Linked DNA regions of Arabidopsis thaliana. The protein of the gene in region 2 interacts with the protein of the main gene of each other region in a pairwise test. Each region holds a gene or a part of one and is shown on either strand. Other genes may lie near its edges.

The links. Proteins that work in one complex are often made in the same cells at the same time.
Region 1: the proteins of WRKY60 (region 2) and VAR2 interact in a two-hybrid assay, tested with the Arabidopsis thaliana proteins (one large-scale study listed by BioGRID).

Annotation. Positions count from the first base shown.
Region 1 is NC_003071.7:13,172,598-13,177,574, forward strand, and holds VAR2 (FtsH extracellular protease family), read left to right. Parts: upstream 1-1,723; 5' UTR 1,724-1,813; exon of another isoform or gene 1,814-1,922; 5' UTR 1,923-2,082; coding exon 2,083-3,267; intron 3,268-3,352; coding exon 3,353-3,666; intron 3,667-3,752; coding exon 3,753-3,993; intron 3,994-4,107; coding exon 4,108-4,467; downstream 4,468-4,977. Other genes in the region: AT2G30960 (myosin-M heavy chain-like protein), read right to left, coding at 4,944-4,977. UniProt on the Arabidopsis thaliana protein: Part of a complex that function as an ATP-dependent zinc metallopeptidase.
Region 2 is NC_003071.7:10,627,992-10,631,928, forward strand, and holds WRKY60 (WRKY DNA-binding protein 60), read left to right. Parts: upstream 1-1,670; 5' UTR 1,671-1,820; coding exon 1,821-1,877; exon of another isoform or gene 1,878-1,971; coding exon 1,972-2,034; exon of another isoform or gene 2,035-2,238; coding exon 2,239-2,547; intron 2,548-2,630; coding exon 2,631-2,747; intron 2,748-2,834; coding exon 2,835-3,104; 3' UTR 3,105-3,422; downstream 3,423-3,937. Other genes in the region: AT2G24990 (Serine/threonine-protein kinase Rio1), read left to right, coding at 1-308; AT2G25010 (Aminotransferase-like, plant mobile domain family protein), read left to right, coding at 3,700-3,783, 3,860-3,937. UniProt on the Arabidopsis thaliana protein: Transcription factor. Interacts specifically with the W box (5'-(T)TGAC[CT]-3'), a frequently occurring elicitor-responsive cis-acting element.

The DNA of each region.
Region 1 (4,977 bases), 2.5 Mb from region 2:
AGTAGGGTGGAGGCTGCTTGGATTAAAGAGAAGTATCCAGATAGAATTCCGGTGAGTGTCTCTCTTGTCATTGATCGATCATACAATAACTTGCTTAACTTTCACAACAATTATAGCCTTTTCTCTACGCATTGTTTGGAATTGTGGTGTTCTCTACGCATTGTTTTAAACTTCTGTTGTTTAAGAAATTATAGAATATCTGCATAAAGTATGTTAAGGTTTATACGTTTATTCACATGAACATGACCATGCTTCTGCTATCGAAGAAGAATTGCAATTCTCATGGAAAAGCCTCTGTTTTTTATAGTGCTTAGTAAGTATAGAGACTAGTAACTAGAATATTATTAGATTGGTTTATGCATTTCTTTTATGGCTTTTGATGAACAATTGGTCCATATGCCATTATTTTCGGTTATATGGTCCTTATGTGACACATTACTGTTAAGTGTTTCTTTCTCATCTAAACGTTGAAGAGTAGTTTGATTGTTGTATTGACCGTTAAGCATTTGTACTCTTACTGAAATCTTGAGAGCTGTCATTTTCAGGTGTATGTAGAATTGCAGACTACATTCTTTAAGTTCTTGAGCTTGGAACAATACTTTTCTCACTCTACTTGTTTCTGCAATTAAATGGTAATAACAATTTCTAATGTCAGTTAAAAATCTTTCAAGTTGATTTTTGTTTAGCTTTTTCTATTGAGGTTCAAACTTGTAAGCACGCGATTGAAACCAACTGTAGAATGACAGATCTTGTTTGTTATTCTGTCTTTATGTTACTTTGTGTCATCTTCTATATACTTTTACATACCTTACAGGGCCGCTTAGTGATCTTGAAATGGCTTTAAAGAACAAACTTATCACTGACATGTTGTCAAATGCTTGAATGGTGCCTTTTATGTCTTGAAAGTTAGTCTTTTTGTGTCGGTTAATGCTTCTTCACTTGTTTTTGTTCTGTTCGGTTATGAATCTTATTATCTTAAGTTGTTTGTGTTCTGTTCTAAATTGGTTTCATTGTGCTCTGTTCTAATTGGTTTGTGTTCGTGTTCAAACTTCAATAGATTGGTTTGTGTTCTGTTCTAAATGAATTTCAACTTCGTTTTAAGGATGATGTCCCTGTCGAGATGCAAGAGTTCAAGGAAGCATAAATAGCAAGCACATGCAAGTGTTGTTCTGTTCTGTGTATAAGTGTATAGGCTATGGTCGTGTGAAGATGCACTTGAGTTTGTGTGTCGAATTTTGTGAGTGTATCAAGTTTTGAGAGCGTAGAGTCTGTGTCAAGTTTTGAGAGTCAAATGTATCCCAAACACTTTCACATTTTTTTCAAAATTTTTTTTTAGTTTTATTAGAAACTCACTTAAGGATTTTTTTAATGGACCAAAAATTTTTCAAAAACTCTACAAAATCTCTAAACTACAAAAATATCAAAATTAATTAATAAAAAATACATAGAAACCTTACTTAGAAACTAACCAATGTGGTTGCTCTGAGAGTACTACAAAAATAAAATAAAATGTGTAATATACAAATTGCAAGAGAATACATAACATAACAGAGAAATTCATATGTACAGTAATTGAAAATCGTCGAGTAAACCAATTTTGGTTTGGATACCAATTCAGTTTTTGGTTAGATTCGGGTAATTAAATTAAACCACTCAATGAAGGACACGTAAGTTCTTCACGAACCACATCTGTTCCCTTAAAAAAAAATCTCCAAGTCCCTTGCACTATTCTCCTCTCTTTCTCTCCATCCTCCATATTTGCAGAGCTCGAGATTCTCCTTCCCTATACAACTCTCATCTGTAATCGATACAGGTTTGTCTTCTACCTCTTCTCTTTGGTTAGATTCTTTTATAATCTCCGTCGCTGCATAACTCTGACTGGGTTTTCTTCGGCAAATTCTGATTTCGTCGCTTTGTGTTAGTTTTAGTTCCTTGATTTCTAATTCACTGAATTAAGAACTCGAAGTATGTTTACTGTTCCTTTGATCTGAGGGTTAGGTTCTTGTACTTGTAAGAAACTTGCTTGTTCTGTCTCATCGTTCATGGGATTTGATATATCATCTAATTAATTTTTCTTCTTTGATGAATTTTCAGATGGCAGCTTCATCAGCTTGTCTTGTGGGAAATGGTTTGTCAGTGAACACAACAACCAAACAGAGGTTAAGTAAACATTTTTCCGGCAGACAGACAAGCTTTTCTTCAGTGATTAGGACATCTAAGGTTAATGTAGTGAAGGCTTCTTTGGATGGGAAGAAGAAGCAAGAAGGAAGAAGAGATTTTCTCAAAATCTTGTTAGGAAATGCTGGGGTCGGTTTGGTTGCAAGTGGGAAAGCAAATGCTGATGAACAAGGTGTTTCTTCGTCGAGGATGTCGTATTCTAGGTTTCTAGAGTACTTGGATAAGGATAGGGTGAATAAAGTTGATTTGTATGAGAATGGGACTATAGCTATTGTGGAAGCTGTTTCTCCTGAATTGGGTAACCGGGTTGAGAGAGTACGTGTTCAGCTACCGGGTTTAAGTCAAGAGCTTCTACAGAAGCTTAGGGCTAAGAATATTGATTTTGCAGCACATAATGCTCAGGAAGATCAAGGTTCTGTGTTATTCAACTTGATTGGTAATCTTGCTTTCCCGGCGCTTTTGATTGGTGGTTTGTTCCTTCTTTCGAGACGGTCTGGTGGTGGAATGGGTGGACCTGGTGGTCCTGGTAACCCACTTCAGTTTGGTCAGTCCAAAGCAAAGTTCCAAATGGAACCTAACACTGGTGTAACATTTGATGATGTTGCTGGAGTTGATGAAGCAAAGCAAGATTTCATGGAAGTGGTGGAGTTTTTGAAGAAACCTGAGAGATTCACTGCGGTTGGTGCCAAGATCCCGAAAGGTGTTCTTCTTATTGGTCCTCCTGGTACCGGGAAAACCCTTTTGGCAAAAGCCATTGCTGGTGAAGCTGGTGTGCCTTTCTTCTCCATCTCTGGTTCTGAGTTTGTTGAGATGTTTGTCGGTGTTGGTGCCTCGAGAGTCCGTGATCTTTTCAAGAAAGCCAAGGAGAACGCTCCTTGCATTGTCTTTGTAGATGAAATAGATGCTGTTGGTAGGCAAAGAGGAACCGGAATTGGTGGAGGTAATGATGAAAGAGAACAGACCCTCAATCAGCTCCTAACTGAGATGGATGGTTTTGAAGGTAACACTGGTGTTATCGTAGTTGCTGCAACCAATAGAGCAGACATTCTTGACTCTGCTTTGTTGAGGCCAGGACGGTTTGACCGGCAGGTACTATCTGATTATTACACATTGATATGTTTTGTAATCCTGTACTACTCCTAGAGCTTGTGCTTACTTATAATTTCTGGTGCAGGTAAGTGTTGACGTTCCTGACGTTAAGGGGAGAACAGATATTCTCAAGGTTCATGCCGGCAATAAGAAGTTCGACAATGATGTTTCACTTGAAATAATAGCAATGAGAACACCTGGATTTAGCGGAGCAGATCTCGCTAACCTCTTGAATGAGGCTGCTATATTGGCCGGAAGGCGAGCACGGACATCGATATCATCTAAAGAGATTGATGACTCCATTGATAGAATCGTTGCTGGCATGGAAGGAACAGTGATGACCGATGGCAAGAGCAAAAGCTTGGTAGCTTACCATGAAGTTGGTCATGCAGTGTGTGGGTAAGTGAGAAACATATTAAAAGCCTGTCTGTATATTATTACTATCAAAAACTTACTTTAAAGTTATAAACTTTGGTTTTTTACAGAACATTGACTCCAGGACATGATGCTGTGCAAAAGGTAACGTTGATACCAAGAGGCCAAGCAAGAGGTCTGACTTGGTTCATTCCATCAGATGACCCGACACTCATCTCCAAGCAGCAACTCTTTGCAAGAATTGTTGGTGGACTCGGTGGTAGGGCCGCTGAAGAAATCATCTTTGGTGATTCCGAGGTGACTACTGGCGCAGTTGGTGACTTACAACAGATCACCGGTTTGGCTAGACAGGTACGCGACACGTTCAGCTTCACATTAGTTATGCTGGAGCCTGATGATAAGTTTGATCTTTTACTAGTTGATGAAACTGAGTGTTTGAGACTGTTGAATATTTTTACTTTGCAGATGGTAACAACATTTGGAATGTCTGATATTGGACCATGGTCTTTGATGGATTCTTCGGCACAAAGCGATGTCATCATGAGAATGATGGCAAGAAACTCCATGTCTGAGAAGCTTGCAGAAGACATTGATTCTGCGGTGAAGAAACTATCAGACAGTGCATATGAGATAGCTCTAAGCCACATAAAGAACAATCGTGAAGCCATGGATAAGCTCGTTGAAGTGCTTCTCGAGAAAGAAACTATTGGCGGTGACGAATTCAGGGCAATTCTTTCCGAGTTTACTGAGATCCCCCCGGAAAACCGAGTTCCTTCTTCAACAACGACAACTCCAGCATCAGCACCAACACCAGCTGCTGTCTAAGTAATCAATCTGTATACTTGTGATACTTATAATTTTTCTGTAAATTTATCTTCAAACTTACACTCTAGAAATGTGATACTATCTCAAAATTTAGTAACAAGTAAATGTTTAAAAAATTGAATTTGTAGGCTTGTTTATGATATTGTCCAGATTTGCAACACTCAAACCGAAATTCAAAAGTATTTTCAAGTAGCACAAGCAGAACACCAAAAACTGTTATGGAATCATGTTCTTTATACTTACAAACTTATGTACATTTGCTTACAATTAACCTCAAACCATTAGTCCCTAATGCTTCAGAGTCTTTAATCCAACACCATCATCATCTCTCTGTTCAATGAACATCCAAGAATAGTAGCATTCCAGAGCTAAGCAGAAAACCTGAAACCAAAATATTCTAAAAGATCAATGTTTGATTCCAAATCAGTAAATAGAAACCGTAAAGAAGCAACATTTATCAAACCTTAAAGGAAACGTTACGCATTAAATGGCTTCACGCCACTTGCAATT
Region 2 (3,937 bases):
CAGGAGACATGCTATACCAAACGATAACGGGGCTTAAGGATGCTCTTCCTAAAATAGAAGAGCAGAAAATAGAGGTGAATGATGAAGAGAAAGAAGAGGAAGGAGAGGAAGAAGAAGACGGAGAAAGTGAAGAAGGAAGTGAGGAAGAAGAGAGTGAAGAAGAATTGGGTCATGAAGACAAGAAAGCTGCAAGGAAAGAGCACAAGAAGAAAGTGAAAGAGGAGAAACGAGAGTCTAGGAAGACGAAGACACCCAAATCTGTCAAGAAGCGAAAGAAGAAAGTCTCTAAACCACACAAGACTCGTTAATCCGAGTTAGAAGTTTTGACACCCCAACTTGTATTTTTATTTATATTTTGAAATTTTGTGTCAAATTCTGGGAAATCGAGTATGGACCCAAAGCTCTCTATATTTCCAAAAATAGCAAGTTCTTGTAATATTCATAGTATGACTTTATTATAGAGCCCGAAATTGGTTTGCTGCTGTTTCAAGAATAGGATTCAAATTTCTGTTCCTTTCCTCACATCCCTAACCAACTTGACAATTCGAATAATGGTTGTGTCTAAATTTATCAACTCAAGTTTTGAGATTGTTGGCTTATAGTATGAAAATTCTAATCCTGCAACTAGTTTATTTACAACATTTTTTCTTTGTTTAATGAGTTCTTGATTTTATACAGTTTAGTGTTTATGAGCTTTTCTTCTTAAGCCTCTGTTTCCATAGTTTATATCTTAATACGTGTTTTCTCTTTCTTTTGGAGCTTTGATTATCTCTTTTAAACTATGTTTTCGAAGATATCTTTGTTTTCTGCCGGTTTTGTAAGATCGGAAAATATATTTTTATTTTATAATATTAATAAAAAAGATGACAAAACAAAAAATAATGATTTTCTTTCAAACTTAATGAACATAAAAAAAAGGGAAACGAAATCTTATTTTGCCTAGCTGACATAATTAACTAATGCAACTAAATGTAGGTAGGATTAAGTAAACAAAAATATGAGACAAAATTAAACATGCCAACCTCCAGGGCATAGTCAATGGGTCAAGTCAAGCGAAAGTTGGTCTGGATCTTACAATGCAACTTAATGTAAAGTACTCATTTTTCTTCGACATGGGACATCCGCCGAAATTGTTGATTTTTGATCCATCTTTACACTTGTTTTCTCCGATTACAACAAAACATAACAATTCGACTACGATTTAACACCTAACCTTTTTAATTTTTTAGGACACGCATTTAGTATTTACGATGCAAGCCAACAAATTTAATCCAACGTATTAAACACAACTTGCTTTTTGTCAATACGTATTAAATTAAATAGTTTTCTTGCAATTTTTGTTTACACATTTCATTAGTATTGTTTTTTTCCAATATTTTTGTTTCTATGTTCAATCACTATCATATGCATAATACACATTATAATTTTGGCACAATTAGAATTACACACAAGGATTTTATAAATGTTTTTAAAATGATTTACAAAAGATTTTATAAAAATTTTACAAAAGTTTTTAAAAGATTTAATAAAAGTTTTAAAACGATTTTACAAAGAGTTTTAAAAACTTTTAAAGGTTTTAAAGAAAGTTTATGAGAATTTACAAGAATTGTAAAAGATTTATAATAATTTTTTTAGAATTAGAAAGGAGACCCTCATTTTCCACCCAAATCGTCAACCTTCTCATAATTGACAAGTTATTACACTCTCTCCACTTACTAGTTACTATAAAACCAAAGGAGACCAAATCTCTTAGCAATTATGAATTTGGTCTTCGCTATAATCTCACGTTACATTAAATTGGCTCCTGTGAACCTAAATTTATGGACTATGATCCCAACACCAATCCGTTCGACCTTCATTTCTCCGGTAAACTTCCGGTGAGTTTTTCAATTTCTTCGAAAATTTCACTTCAATTTTCGAGGTTGTGGTGATTATTCGTGGTGTTCATATATATTTTATTGCCTGATTTAGAAAAGAGAAGTCTCGGCTTCAGCTTCTAAAGTTGTAGAGAAGAAATGGTTAGTGAAAGATGAGGTTAGTTCTTTCATCGAACACTTTGGTGTGCAATACTTTGACCTCAAAATTTTTGACTATGAGTGAATGGATTAGGTTGATCAAGTTCTCATATCTGATTTAGACATTGAATAGTTTGTTTAGATCGGTGATGCTCAAAAGTTGAACAAATCAAAGCTTTGTCTTACAGCTTAGTTTGGTAATGGTGATTTTCATTTTACACAGAAGAGAAATATGCTACAAGATGAAATAAACCGGGTTAATTCGGAGAACAAGAAGCTAACCGAAATGTTAGCAAGAGTCTGTGAGAAGTACTATGCTCTTAATAATCTTATGGAGGAGTTGCAGAGTCGAAAGAGTCCTGAAAGTGTTAACTTTCAGAACAAACAGCTAACGGGGAAACGAAAACAAGAACTTGATGAGTTTGTTAGCTCCCCAATTGGACTCAGTCTCGGACCAATCGAGAACATCACCAACGATAAAGCGACGGTTTCAACCGCTTACTTTGCTGCTGAGAAGTCTGACACAAGCTTGGTAAGGAGATTTCTACTACAAGTATCGTTCTTTGAGTGTATTGATTTGTTAACGAATGTTTTGTGGATATACGTTACTTGTAGACTGTGAAAGATGGATATCAATGGAGGAAATACGGGCAAAAGATTACGAGAGATAATCCATCTCCTAGAGCTTACTTCAGATGCTCGTTTTCACCGTCTTGTCTAGTCAAGAAGAAGGTACTTTGGTTTAAACTTTGTTAAAGAGTTCTTCGATATCATCTTGCTGTCTGATTAAATTCCCTAGTTGTGTGTGCGCTTGTTTAGGTGCAACGAAGTGCAGAAGATCCATCTTTCTTGGTAGCCACTTACGAAGGGACACATAACCACACCGGACCACATGCAAGTGTGTCCAGGACAGTGAAACTTGATCTAGTTCAAGGTGGGCTTGAACCAGTTGAGGAAAAGAAAGAGAGAGGGACGATTCAAGAGGTTTTGGTGCAACAAATGGCTTCTTCGTTGACCAAAGATCCTAAGTTCACTGCAGCTCTTGCGACTGCTATTTCCGGGAGATTGATAGAGCATTCAAGAACATGAAAGTTCTCTAGAACATGTATATTTCTGTTTTGTTCTATTTTGTTGCTCATTCCTAGTAAAAAGGTAAAGATTTGTTTGATCTTGATTAGGAGGCATAGATGTCAATTTTAATGTGTGTGTATATAATTACATCAAATCTAAGTATCCAAAAAGGGTCACCCCCATTTTATCTTATGTTGAAAGAGTTTTGTTATAGCTCGGTGTAAGTATGGTAGATTGACGCTGCTTCGACAGTTTATGTATCTTCCAATGTTATCTTGTTCAGTTGTTTGTATTAACTTCCATTAGAGAAGAATGTGATGCCATTACAGACATAAAAGAAACAGAGAAACCCGGAAACAGAGTAAAACCACGAAAAACAGAGTCGGTTTAAGAGAACCAAACCAAAATAACCGGTACAGCTATAAAAAGCCAAGAAGAAAAATTATGAACCGAGTCCAAATTAGGTTACGGTTAGCTTCCAATCCCAACTTCTTCTTCTTCTTCATCTGTGTTTAGTCCCAAATTGAAGAATCAAAAGTTTCGTGTTTTGAGAATTTGACAAAAATTTGTTTATGTAATCTTAGTTTTCGCTGATTTTGAGTAAGTTATCGACATGGATATTGATGTCGGACCAGTTGATCCATCTGTCCTATACGAGCAAGACCTCCATGTTTCTTCTGCTGTTTGGGAAGGACAGGTTTTTTTCTTAATTCCCTTGCTAAATTTCAGATTTTGAATTTAGGGTTAATCTTATTTCCCCTTACTTACCTTAGGAACGAGGTCTACTTCGTTGTCAAGAACACACTTCATTGCTACATCAATGGAAACTCACTGATGAACAAATTAACCTC